Kluyveromyces lactis: one gene and its partner. The protein of the gene in region 2 interacts with the protein of the main gene of each other region in a pairwise test. Links are inferred from orthologs where the notes say so. Each region holds a gene or a part of one and is shown on either strand. Other genes may lie near its edges.

Evidence for each region. The genes of interacting proteins can lie anywhere in the genome.
Region 1: the proteins of FTR1 (region 2) and KLLA0_F04323g interact in a protein complementation assay, tested with the Saccharomyces cerevisiae proteins (2 studies listed by BioGRID). The link is inferred for Kluyveromyces lactis from reciprocal best matches to the Saccharomyces cerevisiae genes FTR1 and PST2.

Annotation. Positions count from the first base shown.
Region 1 is NC_006042.1:405,659-415,371, reverse strand, and holds KLLA0_F04323g (uncharacterized protein), read right to left. Parts: upstream 4,230-9,713; coding exon 3,633-4,229; downstream 1-3,632. Other genes in the region: RPI1 (protein phosphatase regulator REG1), read right to left, coding at 1-2,212; KLLA0_F04301g (regucalcin), read right to left, coding at 4,925-5,941; KLLA0_F04279g (MATE family efflux transporter), read right to left, coding at 6,410-7,861; KLLA0_F04257g (uncharacterized protein), read left to right, coding at 8,915-9,713.
Region 2 is NC_006037.1:261,261-273,459, forward strand, and holds FTR1 (high-affinity iron permease FTR1), read left to right. Parts: upstream 1-5,656; coding exon 5,657-6,817; downstream 6,818-12,199. Other genes in the region: RSC4 (Rsc4p), read left to right, coding at 1-1,046; REC8 (Rec8p), read right to left, coding at 1,180-3,096; FAR7 (Far7p), read left to right, coding at 3,525-4,133; CUP2 (Cup2p), read left to right, coding at 8,293-9,996; DNA-dependent ATPase RAD54, read right to left, coding at 10,256-12,199. UniProt on the Saccharomyces cerevisiae protein: Permease for high affinity iron uptake.

The DNA.
Region 1 (9,713 bases), on a different chromosome or scaffold from region 2:
CCGGAAGGCTTTGATGGTATGTATATATTTTCCCTCTTGAGTCATCATCCATATATCCGTCATTCGCGTCCTGTATTGGAGTATCTAATCCAATGCCATCCGGTACATCGAGGATATCACACGAATTGTCCACAGTTACAAAGTTGGATGTATCCCCCGTGTAAACGGAATTATAATCATACATGTAGTCAAATCCTCTGCTAGTATTCACATTGTGTGATACTGCGTTACCATAATACCATTCATTTTCGTCTTCATCATAATATTCATCGTCAGATCCGTAGTTTAGAGTAGTGGCTGGAAGTGGTTTAATAGTTGCGTTTGGAAATTTGGATAGTGAGAGTGATCTTAAAGAATTTGCAACATCTGTGCCATCACTAGCCCCCGAATTGGTTCGATTTTTTCTAGTATGTGCACTGATAAATAACCCATCATCTTCGTCATCTTCGTCGTCATCTTCATCATAATCGTAGCTGTCAGCGTCTTCATCATCTTCGTCATCGGCGTAATCTTCGACGCTGTTGGCCCCTGAATTTCTATATCCATCGTCAAAGTCAGAATACTGATGCGAAGATCTGGCACCGTCCGACATATCGTCAGAGTGGTAATCGGTATTTGTCATTGGGACTTCGTCATCATTAGGATTAGCGTCTATGGGGTTATGATTAACCGCAATACATTGTTCGACACGGTCATTGAAATGAATATGTCTTTCCCTTTTTTGCTTTTGCTTCATCGATGATGTAAGAATCGATGATAATATGGGAGGATCAGATCTTGCGGATGGGGTTTCTATCACAGAGCCAGAGATTGGACCTGGAGTGGTATTTACTATCGACGAGTTTGTTTCGGTCACAACGGGCGAAATAGATTCCACCGATTCATCAGGCGGTGTATGGATATTTTTGTAATATTGTGCATTCACCTTCGCGGCAATAGCATCATAATCGTCATGCGTTGTCTGACTTGACTGCGGATCCAAAATAGCATGCAAGTCACTAGTTTGCTTTCTGTGCTGCCTTGCTATATCTAATCTCCATTTGGAGTTTTCCTCGATAATTTCACTAACAGTTCTCTTCTTTAGAATAGGTTTAGGACCGGGACTCTGAGACTTTTGGATCAACCTTTTTGAATTTTCATCATCGGAACCATACCCCATGGTGGCCGCATGATTGTTTCCTATTTCAACGTTGGAAGTGGGCTTTGATGACGACGTCGAGTTATTTTGATCGCCCACTACAATCGGACCGTATAACCAAGTTACATCAGAATCCTTTGACCAGTTCAAAGATTCTGGATTCACAGTTTTCAGATTATTTCTAGCCTTTGACCAAGTTCTCCAGGAAGCATTTTCCAACCTTGCAGCATTGATTAAATCTGTGTCCTTCCGTTTCTTTTTCAAAATGATATAACGCCATGACTGAGATATTTCGTTTTCGTTCCATTTATGAGATAAGTAATCCACATGTCTATTGGGTTCATACATCAAGTCGTTGTCATCATGATGAATTAGGAAATCGTCAGTACCCGGGTCTGGAGGAGAATTAGAATCTTCTACATCTTTGTAGTCGTAGTCGTAATCGTAATCTGCTTCGTAGTCATCGTCGTAGTTATCGACTTGCATGTTTTCGTCTGTGTAGTCTTCGTCGGTTCCGCCAACAGTTGTATTGTGTTTATTCAGCCCGGTGTCATTAAGCGTAGTATCATTACCGTCGTTATCGTCATTATAAGAAGTATTATTACTGTTTTTATTGATATTATCAGTTTTGTTTTCGTTGTCGTTGTTGTTGTTGTTGTTGTTGTTGTTGTTGTTGTTGTTGTTGTTGTTAATATTATTCATGCTCCCGCTACTGTCACCACTATTGAGGTCGTTACTCAAGCCATCGATGTTACTGTTAGAGAAGTTATCGGAATCAACAGAGCTCGAACCTGCCAGAAGTTTCTGAGTATCGTCGATGTATGGATCCAACAGTCCCATGGATCGTGTTCTTTTCAAATTGAACGTAGAATTCTTGAAATGGTCGTCGTCATCAGCATGAACCGCCATAGACACAGAAGGACCCATATCGTCGTAATTTGGGACTTGTTTATTTACACTGCTTGTTCCGTATTCATCATTCGATGAGCTTCTGTTCAATGCGACTCTACCCGGGGTAGCATTCCCCTGAGAAGCATTCCCCTGAGCAAAATACGCCGCTAAATTATTCTGCATAATGCAAAGCGTGCTGTGTTTATCTGGTAAAACCTTCTGAATATTATACTCTGCTGTCTTGTTCAACCGCGTGTGTATCACGCAGTAAAAAAGCTAGGTTGAATTATATCAAGTAAGCTCTGCTTGGATGGTAGAAGGTGATTCCTGCGATCCAAAAAAATTAATGGAATAATAAAATAAAATAAAACTGAGAACCAGACAACGAAAGAAGCCTAGGGTATCAAGCGTTATCAGACGCTATCCTTCAGTCCAACAGTAGTATAGTGAGAAATCTGATTTTGCCTAATGAAAGTAGACCAAATAGAAAAATCACACTATCGTTTAACTCTCCTTTATACCACAAATCGCTTCAGGAAAAATAAAGGACTCTCTCTCTGTTAAAGCAGATTGTAACTATCACTGAAAATGCTTAGCACAAAACAAAAATCGTCGAACGAGGCAATCAGAATACACACTTAAACCTGCTCTTCTTCCTATTCCCCCAAACCTTTACATTCTATATGTTCTATATGTTCTATATGTTCTTTGTTCTTTTTAAAAAGTGGATTTGAAAGCTCAAACCAAAGTCCAAAAGAAAAGGAAACCAAACTAAATTCCCAAAAAGAAAAACGAAAACAGAATAATGAGTACCGCTTGCCAGTATTGTTCAATAGAAAAGATCGAAAAGGAGGCAAAATTTGTCTATGACGCTTTGGTGCTTACGTCTTACAACAGACCGTGTTTAGACATGTAAGTAAAGTTACAGGGTAATAGAGTATAAACCGATCCTAGTATGGCGGACGCTATATTCTGTTGTGTTTGAATTTATTAATTTACTGAGGAAATACAACTCCTAGCTTTTTTTAATGGAGCTGGTTTCCAAGTTAATTATTCATTTCAATTTTTGGAAATTCTAACTTCCCAAGTTATACATGTATAGCGAGAAAAGAAAATCGCACGGTAGCGGAGCGTTTTGAGTTTGTCGAAGATGAAACGGGAACTGGAACATTTCAGTTGGCCCAGGGGCCAACTAAATTTCAAGGGATTATCCGTTGTTTAGCAGGACAAATTTTTTTTTTTTTTTGTTCATTTTTGTCACTTTGGTCAGTTCTGGATTTTACATGAGTTCTACCTTGATCTATACCATACACTGATTCAGTCAATAGTGGTGTCATCGATTCTTGTCATATGTCGAGACACATTATATAGTCATCTTGCATGATCGGAGCGGGCATCTACTCTCTTTTTATTAAATTTGACAGTACCAGTTACCGTGAATGTCAGTAGGATACATGTTATATAAGCCGAAAAGCTTGCCAGAAGACCTGCCAGAAAACTTCGGATTGATATTTTTTTTCTAGTACTCTGGCACGGTGCAAAGCACATGCTGGATCTGCCAAATCTTACTGTTATGTATCATATAGAGAGAGTATTTTGTATTCTAAAACTTTTGGATAGTTTCGTAGAAAGTCTTACCTTGGATTTCGTGAACCTTCAATTCCAAGTCAGATGGTGTTCTGGAACCATCTGCACCGGCAATGGTACCAGCACCCCATGGAGAACCACCATGAGCTTCGTCTAAGTTTGTCAATTCACCGAAAACGTTTTTGTAACCCAATGGGACGTAAATGATACCGTGGTGGGCTAAAGTGGACAAAGCGTTGACAATAGTCATTTCGTTACCACCACCAGTACCGGTAGAAACAAAGAAACCGGCAACCTTACCGTGCAAGGCACCGCTGGCCCACAAACCACCAGTGGTATCCCAGAAAGCCTTCCATTGAGCTGGGAAGTTACCAAATCTAGTTGGAACACCGAACAAGTAAGCATCATATTCCGTCAAAGTGTCCTTAGAAGCAATTGGATAGTCTGGTTTGGCTGGAGCATGCATCAACTTCAAGACTTCTTCGGATAAAGTTTCTGGTACTTGATAGATGTCAGCTGAACCACCGGCAGCTTCGATACCCTTCTTTTCGTATTCGGCAGTCTTAGCAACATGGCCGTACATAGAATAAATGATAATAGCAACCTTAGCCATTTTTGTTAGATAATTCCGAGTTATATTAGGGTGAGTGAATGAGTAATTCTCGAGGTTTTCAGGAAAGAGATGGAAAGAATTGTAGCTACTAAACTTATTATAATTGAACCCTTTAACTGCAGAAGGCTTCCTTAATTTCCTTTTTTACCTTAGTTATATTTATATAGTGCCTGAAACTGAAAGTTTCAATCCATGTAAGAAAGGGGAAGACTGTAAAAAAAAAAAGGTTCGAAGGGGCCCAGAAAAAGGTGTAGGTGTACAAATCAATAACCTAAAATTAATAATAGACATAGTAAGTAGGGCCAATAAGCCTTACTTAAACTTAATAATCTATATGAGCAATTCTGATCACCCTGTTCTCAATTTCTTCAGAGGAAGATATAGTATTACGGCAAAAGTACGCTATAGATTAGTAAATTTTATAAATCTCAAATATGCGAATATAATTTGTCATAATGAAAAGTCAGCCAATTAAGGCACCTTAATTAAGACGTTACAAACACTATGTAAGTTGATAGTTGTTTCGCTGTCGTATAAACCATAAACATTCATAAGTTATTCTATGTTTATAAATTCTTTGTCAGTGCTTTGTCAGTAGTTTGTTAATACTTAGTAAAATATGATAAATTGAAAAACTGGGGATCACGGGATTGAAAACGCAAACTCCTTACATGTCACGTGCATCATAAGGGCTTCTAATGCTCTGCCGTAATCGGGTTCCTCTTTGAGGACCCCATATAAGTCGAGACATTCTCTACTTTAAAGATGGATCCACCAAGGCCCTCTGGACTTGCGTTATCTTCAATGATTTCGTTTGCTGTGGTAACAAACATGTGACCTTGGGCCAAGGTACATGCAGAGATTCGATTGGTCTCTGGGAACGTCCATTTGTGGATTAGATCTCCTTTGGTATCGTACCTTTGCACCGTACTCGTAGACCATACCGCTGTGATGATATTGTGCGTATCGGGATCGATGAAACTGCCGTCAGGTTCAGGTGAATCGAATTGGGAATTGAACTTCTTAATATCAATGAATAATGCCTTGTCCTCCACGATGAGATTTTTGTCTTGGTACGGATACTTGTAAATCGAGAAGTTTAGAGAATCAGTGAAATATACCGTTGTACCATCCTGGCTCCAATTGATTGCATTGGGAATCATCAATTTATCTATTACCAACTCACATATGTTTTCACGGAGGTTCACTTTTAGTAGTGCGCCCTTTGGGTCCTCTGAATCAACAGTACAATGGAAATCGTTCATAATACCGATGAATATTTCTCCATCTGGAGAGACGTTCCCATCGTTGGATCGTAAACCTGTCCAATCCTTCTGCAATCCGCTGTCACTATAGTGAACCAAGTATTGCCATCTCAAAGTGGTGTAATTCATTCTGGCAATCCCATATTTAGCACCGAAATAAACCTCTTCAACACCATCTGCTCTATCAATTGGGAAAATAGCTCCAATACGTTCTGGTAGATCAGTAGTAAATGGGTACAAGCCCTCATAGTTATCAACTGATGCATGCCATACAGTATGAGTTGAAATATCGTCAATATCAGTCACTCTATGGATGTAGGCATTGTAGATATCAATCCAGAAGAGCGCCTTGGATTCAGCTGCATAGCTGATACCCTCTGATAGTCTGATCTTACTATCGAAATAGTATGGTCCATTCTTATGAACAGTTTCCGTTACTTCGGTCATTGCTTTCTTTATAATTTTTCTTGACAGGCTCAATGCACTTTTCGACTATGGTTCTCGCTCACACTGAGAAGAGAATACAATCAATTTGAAAAACACTCTCTTCCGAATGGTCAAACTCTAATTATATCCGATCAATTTCTTTCATTAGCGAATTCTTATTCTTATTCAATTGCATGATTCTTTTACCACTTATATATACCCTTATTTTGAGAAGATGTTTGCATCTTTGTTGGAGTTTCTGGCTGAAGGAAAACAACGAAGGAATCGGAAAAAACGGAAAAACGGAAAAACAGGCAATAATTAGTTCCGGCCTAATATGATAATCAACACGAAGAAGTTTCTTAAGAAGAACGTATCCTTACCTATATATGTAAATACAAGGCCCAGTTAAATAATTGCTAGTGAACTAGAATATTTTCTCTGATTTTTTTTGATCTGTATTTAAAAAACAGTATAATCTGTCAATGATCACGCTTCATGGCGTAGGTCTTGCGATTTGCTAATAATATTTCTCCAGTTTGATATGTAAACGAAATAGTTCTCGCCAATAGCTAGGAAGAGGACACCTACCCCGATACCTATCCAGAACCCGAGCACTTCCATTTTGAATTTGAACGCTAATAAAATACCGACTTCAAGCCCAACTAGATAGTACGCCATTATGTTTAAATACCCACCGATTCGTTGTCTTCCCTGAGCTCTCAAGACACCTGCAGCCATGACATTGAAGCAATCATATATTTGATTTAATGCGACGACACAGAGTAATCCTGCAGCTTTATTTACCAAAACCGGGTCCGCATTAAACAAAGAACATAACTTGTAACGACCGAAGTACAACACTGTGAAATTTATTATTCCTGCAGCAGGACCAACCCCAAACATAGTTGCTTTCGTCGCTGTCTTGCAGTTTTCCGTGATTCCAGAACCAATGTGATAGGCAATTCTATTGGAAGCAGCCACACTGCAGCTGAAGGGTAATTGGAAGAAAAACGTTTGTAAGGTCGCTACAATACTTTGTGCAGCTAAGACTTCCGTTCCGAATTTCGCGCTTAAAACAGTGATGATCTCGAAAGCAAAAAACTCAGCTTCGATCATGATCAAACCTGGTAGCGCTAAAGCAATAAGGGGACCCCAATTCTTGAAAATTGCCGAGAAATTCCCAGTTATCGGATGCCAGCAGGAAGAATTACCAAAATATATTTGACGACAGATGTATGCAACAATTGTGAGCCCCATAAGAGTATAAGACAGCACCATAGAAATTGGAGATCCGATGTAGCCAAATTTGTACTTTAGAACAAATAAATAATTCAACAATATGTTCAATGGTGCACAGACAAACAGAATGTTTTGTCCAGTTACGAAATCTCCCTGAGCTTGTAAGTACTTCTTACCACATTCGAATATGATATAGCCGGGAAGACTAAGAATCATGATACGCAAATAAACAGCGGCGATATGGACAACGTCAGCGTCCTCCACTAGAAACGATAAAACGTACTCTGAATTATACCAAAATGCAATTACCGGAACGGCAAATAGGAAAGAAATGGCAACACCTCTTTGGAAATACAGTCCCACCATGTTGTACTTACCTGCACCATACGCTTGAGGACAAACCGTATCCAAACATGTTGCAATACCGATAAATATAGCCGAAGTGACCGCGAAAGTGACATTTCCGATCGAAATCCCTCCAACTTCTAAAGTCCCAACCCTTCCAGCGAAAACCAAAGCTGAGGACGATAATGAACATTGCAAGAGAAACGTAATGATTAATGGGATGGAGGTCTTAGTCATATACCAGAACTCATACTCTAAGCTCGTTTCCCCATCCTTTTTCAAGGATTCCACTGTATTGTATCCGCTATCGCCTCCTCTATGGGCAATTAATGAAGAGTCTTCACCTGGTACCATTCATAAATATTTAAAGACTCTATTTGTATCTCTAGAAGCTTTCTTGGCAGGCAATCCTGATACTTTCTATCACAATTTGAAGAACGTATTAAATATAAGAGTAATACCGATATTACACTATTGCTTCATCGTTTCTCTAGAACAGCGACCAGCGATGAAATATCGATGAAAGACGCCGTTACAGAACTACTGGCTAACGGTAAAAGATAACAATGTGATTACTTCTTCATCCTTCCTTTAAATAAAACCAAACATCAAGAGCAGACATCAAATTTACGTACCAATCCTTTTTTTTTTCATCACCATAAAGGGAAATGACTTGATATGGCACTTCACTGAGTAAAGAACATCCACACAAAGTGGCCCGAATGGGGTATCGAAATCAGGCACTAATGCGCCGACAAAACAGAATAGCTATTCTTCTTATCGTGCAGATAAACAGAGAAATTCCACTGATCATGCAGATCGTCGAGGTATAAAAAAGTCTAAAATGGTTCGGAATACAATTCTCACATTCACGCAAAATATTTCCATATTAGGTATCATTTTGCTTTGTGATGAAATCTAAAAACTTAAAACTTGAGGTCGCTGTTGATAGCAGATCCTGGCTTTAATACACATCATGAACTGTTACTCCAAACTAGATAGCAAGCAGGTGCTTAACGTTAATCTCTCCACTTTATCTCTCTTTAGGAATGCATGGGAGATAAAGGATTGAAGGAAAACGATATTTCATATAAAATAGGCAAGCTAATCACTTGGTCGATGAGCTTCATGCATGTTTCCTTCATCTCGAGCTGCTAATAAATGTATAATATAATACCGGAAAACATTAACACTAACAATCCATATTCAGCTCAACCTTACTTGTCAAGACTTGATAACATCCGGTTCAAGACTCAAATCAACCACAATCGGAGTAAGAATCGCTAGAAAAAATCAAGTAAGAATACCTACATTTCTTCTCTTTAAGGCCAATCTACCGTCTATCTTCCAATATCTCCCCTCTTTCACCTATAAGTGACAGAAAGTTACGGCAATCAAGCTATTATAATGATCGAGATGAGTTCATTTGGAAGTAAGCCTGAGGGCTCTGAGAGTGGGAAGACCTTTTACAATTATGAGGTGGATAAGACGATGATCAAGACACCCAGCGTCAAGAATCACGATGTGGAAGATGGTGAATTTGAACAGTACGGTGATGATACTAGCCTATCTTACCGTGATGCTTTTGAAGAAAGCGATGAAGAAGGTCATCAGATTAAATACAAGACTAGTTCATGGCAGCATATTACAGGTCTAATGTTATCAGAATACATCATCTTAGCCATGATGTCTTTCCCATGGTCCTATTCAGTATTAGGTTTAATACCGGGTCTTATTTTAACGGTGTTTGTTGCTGGTGTTGTGTTATACACCAGTTTTATCATTTTAGACTACTGCGAAAAGTTCCCTCATCTTAAAAATGCGTGTGACATCGGACAGCATTTATTTTGGGGAAGTAATTTTGCATGGTATGCAACTGCTGTTTGTTACGTTGCCAACAATACCCTTATCCAGGGTGTGCATGTCTTAGTCGGTGGTAAGTACCTTAATACCATCACAAATCACTCTACCTGTACTGTTGCATTTGGTGTCATTACCGCAATCATTTCTTTTGTGTTTTCTATCCCAAGAACCTTCGCCTCTATGTCTAAAGTTGCATACTTCTCAGCTATTACCATGTTCATTTCGGTAATACTGGCTATCATCTTTGTAGGAATCCAGGATCACCCGGTTGGTTATGATGGTACTCATTTGACATTCAGTTTATGGCCACAGAAGGGCACAAGTTATGTAGATGCAATGGGTG
Region 2 (12,199 bases):
CTTCTAACAACAACTTGGATGACACTTTAAACATATGCCAACCGTTCCTTGAATTGGTAGATAAAGATGAGTATCCAGAATATGAAGAAGTGATTCGTTTACCTAACTCATTGAACTTGGTGAAAAATAACTTAGAACTTGGATACTATCACAAAATCTACGATTTCATTACCGATGTTAATTTGACGTTTCAAAACGCATTGGTTTTCAATGACGAAGATACTACAATATATAGCGATGCATTGAAGCTGATGAAATGTTTTAGTGTATTGATCCAAAGAAGGTTCTTCCCTGAATTAGAAACTGCTAGAGAAAAAGGAGAAATCACGCTGGAATACGACAAAATTGAATATAAACAGTTCGTACAAGAAGAAGAAGAGGAAGAACCAATTCTTTCTGATGATGATGAAACTAACGAAGAATACAATTATATAGAGGGACTAGGAAATGGATATAATCGAGGCCCAATGTCTAGAGATTACCTTTTGGGACCATCAAAAACAAGTAAAACTGCAGACTCGAAAGTTGAAAACAATGAACCAGATAAACCACTTCCCTTGAAATTTAACATCCTTCCTGTTATAAAAAAGCACAACATTGAACCAAAGACAGAGCCAGTGCCTTATAAAGTGATAGAAAAGATTCAGATTTCTTCTTCTAGAAGTTTTTATGAACAATCAATACGACCACTGAAGGGACTGTATCAGAATTCCGACAATATCACTTGGTTCGAATACATATTCGCAGATGGTGCCCTCACCCAAACCAGCCACGAATATGCTATTACACTACCACCAAAACAAAATTCAATTACTGTGGTTTCACAATTAAGCTCTCCTGTTTCAGAAGATAGCCCTGCAGTTTTGATAGCAAACAAGGATAAAGTAAACCCAATACCAGTATTAGATGGGGATAAATTCGACGAAAGTAAAGCAAGATACGATATCAAGTTGGCAGAAGGTCTGAACACTGTTACTTTCTCTGTAAGAGATTCAGAGAACGACCGTTTGGAAACAGCCAAATTCTGGATTAGTGTATTACCTTAGTTAGCTATTATGTAGCTCCAGTGTAATATATGAAGACTATAAATTTACTCAAAAAATGGGGCTTGAAAGAAGAATCACTCTCAAGAGAACCGAACGTCAGTTATTAAAAAAAAAACACTCTCACTCGATCCAGTTAGCAATATACAATGATATCATCTCCATTTAGTACCCTGAACACCTTTTCAGGCTCTACATTATAAAGATCAATTTTCAACTTGCTCGAAGTAGCCAATTGTAAAAGCGACAAAAAGGCATTACAGGCAATTCTTTTAGTAACAGGTATAATCTCTTCATCTTCTTCCTGACTTAACTTACTTGGGATAATATCTTCAAAAAGGAATTTTCTGGAATAACCTGGGAAAGCGGCAGTTCTTTTACCTATGTGTTGTCCTCTCTCAACAATATATTGAAAGAATTTTTCTGTCTGCTTATCATGCACGATAAGCTGCTGTTGATTTTCATTAAATGTCTGTGGAATTGAATCTGATCCTGAAAGGTAGTCCGCAGAACCGCTGTCTCCTCTTATCGCTCCTCTTCTTCGATTTGGATATCCTCTTAAGTTTTCGAGATTGTCTGAATTGGCAGTATAGTTTCTGTTTGTGCTTCTACCAAAACTTGAGGGAGGGATATCAAGTTCCATAAATTGGGGATCATCCATTGGCATGTCCATATACTCAGGATACTCGTTTATTTGTTCAGGTAAGTTGTGAAGATGAATCCTGTTGGAATCACCACTACTGGATACGTTCGAAAAGTCCATTCTTCTTCCATGTTCTAAACTCAAAACGCTGCTAGATCTAGACGTATCTCCTGCAGAGTGCATTACTCTTCCTCTTCTACCTTGCGGAAAATTGATAGAGCTCAATGGTTGGAAGAGTTCAGAGTAAAAATTTAGCATCTGCCTTGGCCGATCTTCATCAGTAAACAATTCTTTCCAGTCAGAGATCATAGGTTTTGATTTTGACGATCTACGGGCATGTAAATCTCTCATAATGTCCTTGTAATTTTCATGATTGTAGCGCAATGTATCTGTTAATAAGCCAATCGTACTATCAACCTTGATCTTTTGGAACCAATTAGCCACCGTTCTTCGCTTTTTATTTTTTGTGCTTTTGGCGTTTACTTCTACTTCGTTTAATGTATTCCCGTCTTCATCTTCATCTTCATTGTCGAGACCTAATCTTCTTTTCATTTGTTGCAAATGTGGATTAGAAGTTTCTGTTTCATCAAGCACTGGCATACCAAGATCTATTCCATGAGTCGCATCGTTATCGTAATTCAGACCAAGGTCACTGTGCACTGAACTTAAATTAGCGGTCTCTGCTTCATTGTCAGTTAATACTTCGTCGAGTCTGAAATTCAATTCTACGTCAATGGGAGCCAAATCATCATCCTCATATTCGTCAGCATCACCATTAATATGAAAATCATGACCACTATTTACCGTATTACCTCTTGATCTTGCATTCAAATACGGCTCGTTACCAATTTCCATTTCTCTCCACATGTCGTCCTGCCTGATTGCCTGCTTATCGGCAAGTACTGGAGCCCTTGTTGAATTGGTCAAAATTTGTCTGTCATTTGTATTATTATTTCCGTTAAGGAGGAAATCCAAATTGTTGTCCATCTTCAATTGCATCATCATATCAAAATTTGGATCATCCTGCAAGAAATTATCACCAGTTTCAGTGATGACTTGGTTCTGTACCATTTTTGTTTTGTTATGACCACCGGAACCACCAGTACTTTTCCCCAGAGGTTTCAAACCTATCCATTGTCTTTGCAATGCGTCTCTCAAGCTGGTAACATCTGCTAAAATGAATCCAGTCTTCCGTTCATAGCACACTGTGACACCGTATAACAACTGTCCAGTATGGCGTAAAGGCATCGATACTTGCCCAGATGCTAATATTTGGCAAGCATGAGGAATGGAAACTTTGACTATCTCTCTTTTCTTCACATTCACTGAGTGGGACGCTCCCAAACTGGATAACAACCACACTGTTGCAATGTTCTGATCTTGGGCTATTCTGACTCCCACCTCTGCCATTATGTGAACGAGTTTCCTAGCAACAATAACCTGTTTAGAACTCTGTGTATTGACATACACATCGATATAGTTTTACTCATAAATATTAATGAGAAGTAACAACTAACGAACTTTAAGAAATAAGGAGCACTTTTTATTTTATTATCAATTTAGCCGCCGAGCGTCCTCTGAATCGTTTCAAGATGCAACGCGTATAAAACGATTCAGAGGTCACGTGATCAATATGGATAGCATTCCATTTTCTTTATTCTCTCGACTTCTGTTTCTGCATACAATAATGTCTAATAGCAGTAATCAAGAACAATAAAATAAGGAAAATGTAAAAGAACAGAGGCAAATACACGGCTATTCCTCGATATCTGTTAAGATAATTCTCTCAGTTTGTACAGTAACCAACCGCATATCTCAATAGCAAACCAACAATAATCATGGAAAGCGGCAAAGACGCTGAAAATCAGCCTGTATTGTTCATGGGAGCACAAACTGAAAATTTAGATTACATGTATGAACTAGTGCATGAACTTTCCGCCCAATTGAAAACGAACGAAAATATGAGAGATGCTGTTTTGCAGGATGTGGACCTTCTATCCAGGCAGTTGAACCATGGCAATGTGGACGTATCACCGGACATCAATGTCACAAAGCAATTTATATACAAAAGGTTGAAAGACGAGGAACTCTCAATTCAGGATGAAGAAGAAGAAGATGGGAATGAAGAGGACAACATGTTACATCACGTGACCAAACAAAACGAACAGTTGAAAGAAATCTTAAAGAACCAACAAAGGCGCAATGCTGTAGCACTTCAAGCTCTACGACACCACGACGAAGGATTGGAAATATGCGTGACAATGTTACGAAATGAAATCTACAGTTACCACGTGACCGTACTATCACGGTCCCGAGATCTTATAGAAAATCAGCTATACAAAGCGGAAGATTCCCAATTCAATCAATACCTAGAGTCTGTGACGGACTTACAGCAGCTTCTAGACCTTTGTAAACTTTACAGAACACTTCTAAGAGCGCACCCGTAAATCAAGTAAAGCAGTAGAAAGAAAGAAAAAAAAAAAAAAACTAAGAAATGCTAAGGCAGGACAAGAAAAGAATATGAAACTAGGCAAAGGGTAGGGGATGGGATATGAGGAAAGTTAATGAGGAACTATAATGACACCATTAACAAGATATACACAGAGTGTTATGGGGCAAGTGGGAAAATGTCAATCGGGAAAGAGCTAGAACGAGCCTAATCAAAAGAAATTTGTGGGTTTCGGAATATTGAATGAGATTGTATGAGCCCTAGCTATTCTCGTTACTTTTTTACTGGGTATGCAGATGATATGAAGCGGTACCATCTATCTATCTGTAGTAATAACGTACCTCAAAGCTAGATTGTAATTTATTCTATCACACTCATACTTTTTTCCAAAGTTTTTTTCATGGCAAAAATTGGTTATTGGCCAACGGAAAATGCCAAGAGGTCAAGTCAGTACTTCGGAAGTAACATCATATACAGAAATCCATGCAGTGAAGAAGCCTTATGCGCTTATTCTCAGGAGAAATGGGAAAGAAAGGAAATGAAAATCACATCAATTTAGATTGTAACATATACACCCTATACTACGCTTTCAGATAGGATTTAATTTTCCTGCCATACTTTTCCTCAACTAGAACTCTTACACCTGATTTCATAACCAAGACTGTATTTGACGCAGGATGGGTATATCTCTTCCTCTCTCCATTCCCTTTAATAATCAGTACCATACCATTGCTTTTTTTTTCGTCTTCCGCTTCAGTAATGGAAACACTGTTGAAGCCAAATTAATCCAATCCGTTATACCTTTCCAATTTCAACTATCCTTTCTAAGTGGAAACTTATACCATTTTTTGTGTTTTTTTGCCTAGACATCTATTCCATTCTTTACCCAATTTTTTCCCTTCATAGTTTTTCCCACTACGGATTTCTTGGTACTGTCAGTTTACTGGCCGTATGGGTATTATTTGGGCAAAGTCTAAAATATTGAACCTAAAACGTATTATCTAGTCCACACATAGCCCTGTACTTTGATAGCCTGTTATTTGAGTAACATCTCGATTTGTAGCGGTGTAGGAATTTTGCTAGCTGAAAATGCTAAAAACCACCAATTGCAATGCTGCTTGCGGTTCTATCCTCGACATTTACAGTTTTGTATGTGGAATTGGAATTGACAAAAAAAAAACACCGAAAAAGCCAAGACCTCAAGAGCAGGGGAAGGGTGCATGTACCAAGGTGTAATATTGGAAGATGATAAAGTTTTGGGTGCATAAATCATATTTTTCAGGGAAGGTTTCTGTCACCTTCATTCGATATTGAATGGTTCAGAATATATAAGTATGCGAAACTGGACCCCATGTTGATGTTTTTGTTTGTCTCCTCAGGTGTTAATATTCCATCGCATGCGATGTGGAAGGTTATGTTATGAACATATTTTTGATGCTTTTTGATATGTGTTGTAATTTGATTTTATCAGAATACAACTATAACATCCGTAAATTCTGAACAAACTACAACCAATCAGTCATGGCTGCTAACAAGGTTTTCAACGTTGCTGTGTTCTTCGTTGTGTTCAGAGAATGTTTAGAAGCAGCGGTGATTGTTTCCGTGTTGCTTTCTTTCTTGAAACAATCCATCGGTTCTAATGATATGGCCACTTATAAAAGGTTGAGAATGCATGTCTGGATCGGTGTTGTTGCTGGTTTCATCATTTGTATGGCCATTGGTGGTGGTTTCATTGGTGCTTACTACCGTTACGAAAATGATATTTTCGGTTCTGCTGAAGATTTATGGGAAGGTGTCTTCTGTATCATCGCTACCTTAATGATTTCTGTCATGGGTATTGCTATGTTAAGAGTCAACAAGATGCAAGCCAAATGGAGAGTTAAGATTGCCAAGGCCATGCTTGAAGTTCCAAAGGACAGACGTAAGAAATGGAGTCTTAAATACTGGGCTACCAGATATTCTATGTTTTTGTTGCCATTTATCACTGTTTTGAGAGAAGGTTTGGAAGCCGTCGTGTTCGTTGCTGGTGCCGGTATTACCACCAAGGATTCCAAGGCCACTGCGTACCCATTGCCTGTCGTCATTGGGTTAATTGCTGGTATCATCGTAGGTACTTTGTTGTACTACGGTACTTCTAAGTCATCTCTACAAATCTTCTTGGTCATTTCTACTTGTGTTCTTTACTTGATTGCTTCCGGGTTGTTCTCCAGAGGTGTGTGGTACTTCGATAACTATTACTTCAACAAGAAGACCGGTGGTGACGCATCCGAATCCGGTGATGGTAACGGGTCCTATAACATCTTAAGAACCGTGTACCACGTTAACTGTTGTAACCCGGAATTGGACAACGGTTGGGATATCTTCAACTCGTTGTTGGGCTGGCAAAACACTGGTTATTTGTCATCCATCCTTGCTTACAACTTGTACTGGTTGGTCTTAATGATTGTTATCGGACTAATGATGTACGAAGAAAGAAATGGCCATTTACCATTCTGTAAGAATCTAAAACTGAGACAATTGAAGCCAAGCTACTATTTAAAACGTAAGCAGAACGAAGAGTTGACCGCTGCTGAACAAGAGGAATTGTTCAAACAAGTCAACAATTTGGGCGTCGACGAAGAAGGTAACGTCGTCGTTAACAAAGGTGACACTACCAAAGTCAACGTCGAACTCGTGAAATAAGTGGGTCACTACTAATTTTCACTAGTTCTTTTATCAGAAGTATGTACACCTGTAAACAATCAAATATAATGTAAAGTATCTTTTGGTTTATCGATTAGCAAGTTAACTGCATAGTTGCCAGTTGGGTAAAACTCTATATTCATCTGGGAAATGGAAGCAACAAATATTTATCAGTTGGGAACCCTGATGACTACTGAACGAAAACCGGCTTAGACCACCTCCCCTCTCTCCTGAATCGTGTAACAATTCCTCTTACAATGGCGTGTGTACGTCTCCGCACCTTGCCCAACGCTGTTAGTACAGAGTATAATGATGTATGTGTCGTCCTACCCTTACCATCCGAATAAGACAGAAGAACGCAGCTTGACGAGGTGCCTCTCGAAGCATGTCGAAATGAAATTTCTTTTTCTAATTTCCGGTGCACATTGGCGGAGAAGACACTGCACAACACTTGAAATTCCTGTACGAATGGAAGAGTCTTGAAGGCTTTAAAATCATTACCCGCAAACAGCTGTTCACATACATATACGGACATATCAAACATTCTTATCAAACAGAATACATATATATATATATATATATATATATATATATAGATCTGCAATAATCGGAGCTGAAAGACTTATTTCCTACCCTGATTGAGCTCTACATCCCGCTATACCATTAAACATAGATAGCTTTCAGCGTTTCAAAACTGCTTTTTTCCACTTTCCTAATTAGACCTAAGATAATCAAGCTACTACATACCGAACTTCTTCTTTGTTGTCTTAATACCTTTTTTTCTTTTGGAAAAAATTATAGGAAAAAAAAAATTGAAAAGAGAAGTACTGTAAGTATTCCTCAATTGCCTTCGTTACTCATAAGGTTTAAGAATTAACGGCTGGTATACAGGAATAACTCGGTATCCATATTACTTGTGTTGTACCATTTGACGCTATTTTCTGAAAGAATCTGCTACGAATACTTCTCCTTCCCAACTTTACTCACTGTACTTGTATTTGATTTGATGTGTACTGAAATTTTACAGAGACATTACTTACTAGGTTTAAAAATTTCAACAGAACTTTTAAAGGTCAAATTTTGAGAGATAAAAAAAAGATACTATATATCAGTGTTTTTGACTAGTATTTGAGGAGATTGATAGAGAAACTGCTGTCTCTGGCTTATTCTGTTCACGTTCTCAGTATCCAACCCCCAATTATAAGGCTGAATATCTTCCTTTTTTTCTTTCTCTTCTCTTTCTGGTAGGATTTTTAGTCAGACAACGGCTTAATCAACTTTAAGGAAAGAAAAAGAAAACACACATATTGGAGTGACCTAATCTAATTCATTTGTCTTAATATTCACACTCCCTAATTGTCATTTTCATTGTCCCTTTGCTGGCTTCTTACTGCTGACTTTTGAAGCTTTTTTTGTGGTTATTATTCACTGAAGACAGCACAGACACATTCTGTATCGCATTCAAATAGCACACAATGGTTCTTATCAACGGTGTGAAATATGCCTGTGAAAGGTGTATTAGAGGACACAGAGTGACTACATGTAACCATACAGATCAGCCGTTGACTATGATTAAACCGAAAGGTAGGCCGTCAACGACTTGTGCTCATTGTAAAGAACTACGGAAGAACAGGAATGCGAATCCATCGGGCCAATGCACTTGTGGGCGACAAGAGAAGAAACGGATCGCACAGAAGGCAAGAGAAGAATCGGGATGTGTTTGTAAGAATGATCCGGATCACTGCCCGTGTCATAAGAAGCGTGCGCCAAGAAGGAAAAAACAATCACATCAAGGCAATTCCGCTGTAGGACTGGATATCAATGGTAAAATATCAAAACATACTAATAGCGGATATTCACACCAATCTCTACATTCTCTGGATTCGTCACATTCTGTCGATCAGGATTTATCGAACTTCCTGGCGTCTCCGATCTCTATGAATACAAGCTTTTCCACTGGCTGGGATAATGCGTCGCTGTCAAGTTCTAATCGGTCTCCACCTGGTAACGGACCGGATAGTAAAAATACAATCGGATTAGAACCTCTAAGTACCATGAAACCTATCACACCCAAGACGAGGACTAAAGTCGGTGAAGTTTTCATTCCGCTTACGGAATACGTCCCAACGAATATTGCTTCTTCAGAGGACCAAGCCGATCACATCAATCCACTTCTCATGGGAGAGCACGTATCTATCTACAATGACGTCTCTGCAGATGCCCCAAATGTGACGTATTTCGCGGATACTTCGAAATCTTTGAGTTATAATCAGTTGAAAGAGCAACGGAAGGCTCTTAGCGAACAACATTTGCGTAACAATGTAGATAACATTTCAAAGAGTGGATCAACCCAACGCGTTCCACTCTCAGTCGCTGGCCGTTCATCTTCTTTTGTGTCAAATATATCTTCTCATGACTCCGTGGCATCATCAAACAATGATTTCATTAGTTCATTAAACAGTTCGGATTCTCTGTCTTCTATGCTTCATAGTGGTAACGCTCATCACTACCAGGATATGCTTCATCATTCTAATAATGGACGCGGATATCTTAACCCTGTTCAAGTGGACCAATCTCAAAATGTATATGGCTTTGATACGGACAGCGTACGAAGCGTCGAAGTTCTATCTATAACTCCTAGCTTTATGGATATTCCGGAATCAAAGCCACCGAGTATCGGTTCAAACTCATCTACAAATCCATTTATAAGTTGGAAGAGCGTCAATTCTAGAAGGGAACGTTCCGTTAGTATACACAAAAATCATCGTTATGACAATGAGAATAAAAGGAAGAGACATCCGAAAAATGTACCCAACACTTCTACGCCACAAATCAAGTCTATGGTTTCACCAGCAGAAACTAACAGCACAGCACTTCCGGCATCTGGTAATCATTTCAACTCACCAGCGGATTCCACCAATACAGTTCTAAGTGCTAATACACAGTACGGAGATCCATCCGTATTCAGCATCGAGAAGGTCGGAGTAGCGCCATCCTTTGTAGAACCGTCATTCACCACTGACTTCAACCAGGCACTGAAACAATCAAATATGGTGAACCAAAACATCATCGATAACAACTCTCTGTTCAGTGGCACTAGTGAAGGTAATAACCCCTCTCCTAACGACCTGTTCCCCGTTGAATTCGCAGACATTGATGATTTGATGACACACTTATAATTCTTAAACTACCTTATTCTAGGGTAAGTACATATGTTCATGTAACTCTATTCAAACATACTCGTAATAAAATTAGCTTTAATATGGAAATCCATATTCAAACTGTATTTATATAAATTAGGATCGGCTCAAAGATCTCGAAAACTTGAGTTGCCTCTTCATATTAACCGAGTTATCTGTTCCGAACCGCCCAGAAACCGAATTTATTAATGCGTCTATATAGTAGTGAAATTAAAATGTACTTTAAAAAAATGAAAGATCAATGCGATATATATTGAAATGCAAAACTGATGTCTTTGTGATTGAATTCATTTTTCAAGAGATGGTCGTTTGTTTTTGCTAATGCATCGTGATTCAAATGATTCCACGAAGTCGCGTCACCGTATAGCATTACCGGAGCTTTCAAAATTTGCTTTCCATTCTTACAGCGTTTACAATTATATGTCTCATGGGTATCACATATGGTTTTTGTATCAAGTTTGAACAATTGCTTCAAATTATCCGAACTGAACAATCGTTCAACATCCTCCTTTTCATCCACAACACATGAACTCAAACTCATCTTCATCGATTGTCTTTGGAAAATCTTCTCTTCAATGGTACCAGTACTAATGAATCTGTAGATAAAACAATCTTTCTTTTGCCCATCTCTCCAAACTCTAGCCAAAGCTTGTTGATCTGCAGCCGGGTTCCAATCTGGATCTAATAAAATCAATCTGTTGGCACCAATCAAGTTTATACCGCAACCACCGGCCTTGGAACTTAACAAAAATATAAACTCTTGTCCCTCCGGATCATTGAACCGGTCCACTAACTTTTGTCTTTTATTGATGTTCATGGTACCATCCAATCTCAATACGCCATAGTGGTTACTAAAACACATTTTTTCAATCAAGTCTAGCGTCTGGGTATAGTTTGAAATCAACACAATCTTGTCGTTAGACTCCGTTTTAATTTTGTACAAAAATCTTGCCAAGACCGAAAACTTACTGGAAAAAGCTGTCTGAATAACGCTTCTATTTCTTGAAGTGCGGGAGTCAACAGAAGATTGATAATCGTCGGGTATTAACTCTTCTGAACCCGGAATGTCTTCAGATAGCTCTAATAAGTCTGGATGGTTACATAATTTTTTTAACAAACCGATTGCCTTCAACGGTTGGTTACTATCCCCTTTAACGATCTTCTTAACAGCTCTTGATTCAATGAAATGCTGATATAGAGATTGCTGAAATGGTGTTAAATTTATGAATATAACATGCTCGTATTTGCAAGGTAGATATTTTGCCAAAATATTGTTGGTACGCCTGATAATGAACTTCGAGACAATGTTTGAAAGTTGTCTCAACCTATCCTTACCCAAAGTGACCTCTTCATCTGTAGCCAATGAATCTCTACTCTGTAAAATCGGTAATTCGAAGTTTTTCCTAAAGTCATTTCTGGAACCCAACAATCCGGGATTTGAGAAATTTAATAATGCAAAATACTCCGATAAATCATTTTGAATCGGAGTTCCCGATAGAATAACTCTTCTCGGACACCTAATGGAATCCAATGCCGTGAATGTTAAGGAATCTGCATTCTTCAAACGATGCCCCTCATCTGCTAACATTAGTCCAACCTCACAGTTCTTTAACTGTTCGACATTACGCCTTAAAGTGTCATAAGAAATGATGAGGACAGGTTTGACGATATTTCTACCTTGAGCTGAAGCCCAATGACTCACTGAATCCGCCACATTTCCATTATTTAGACTGGACTTTTTACCGTCAATAGCCAATGAAGAAAGAGAACCTGGTCCCAACCATTTGTCAATTTCATTTGCCCAATTGTTGACTAAAGATGATGGACACACAATAATACATTTATCAATTGATCTCCTACCTTGCGGACCTTGTTTCAACATGGTCCACATTAACGCTAAGCATTGTAATGTCTTACCCAATCCCATTTCATCTGCCATAATACACCCATAGGCTCCCCTGTTTCTAGAATTTTCATTGATTTTAATAACGTCTTTAAGGGACGAGACATCAGTTTCAACCGGTGATTTCGAACCTGTTATGTTAGAATCAGCTTGTGTATCAGCTTTTTCCATTGATTGAGAGCTTGAGTCCAACACTGTTTTGGCATCCAAAAAGTCTTTCATGACTAAACCAGTAACACATCTATACAAAAATCTAACACCCTCAACTTGATGCGGTCT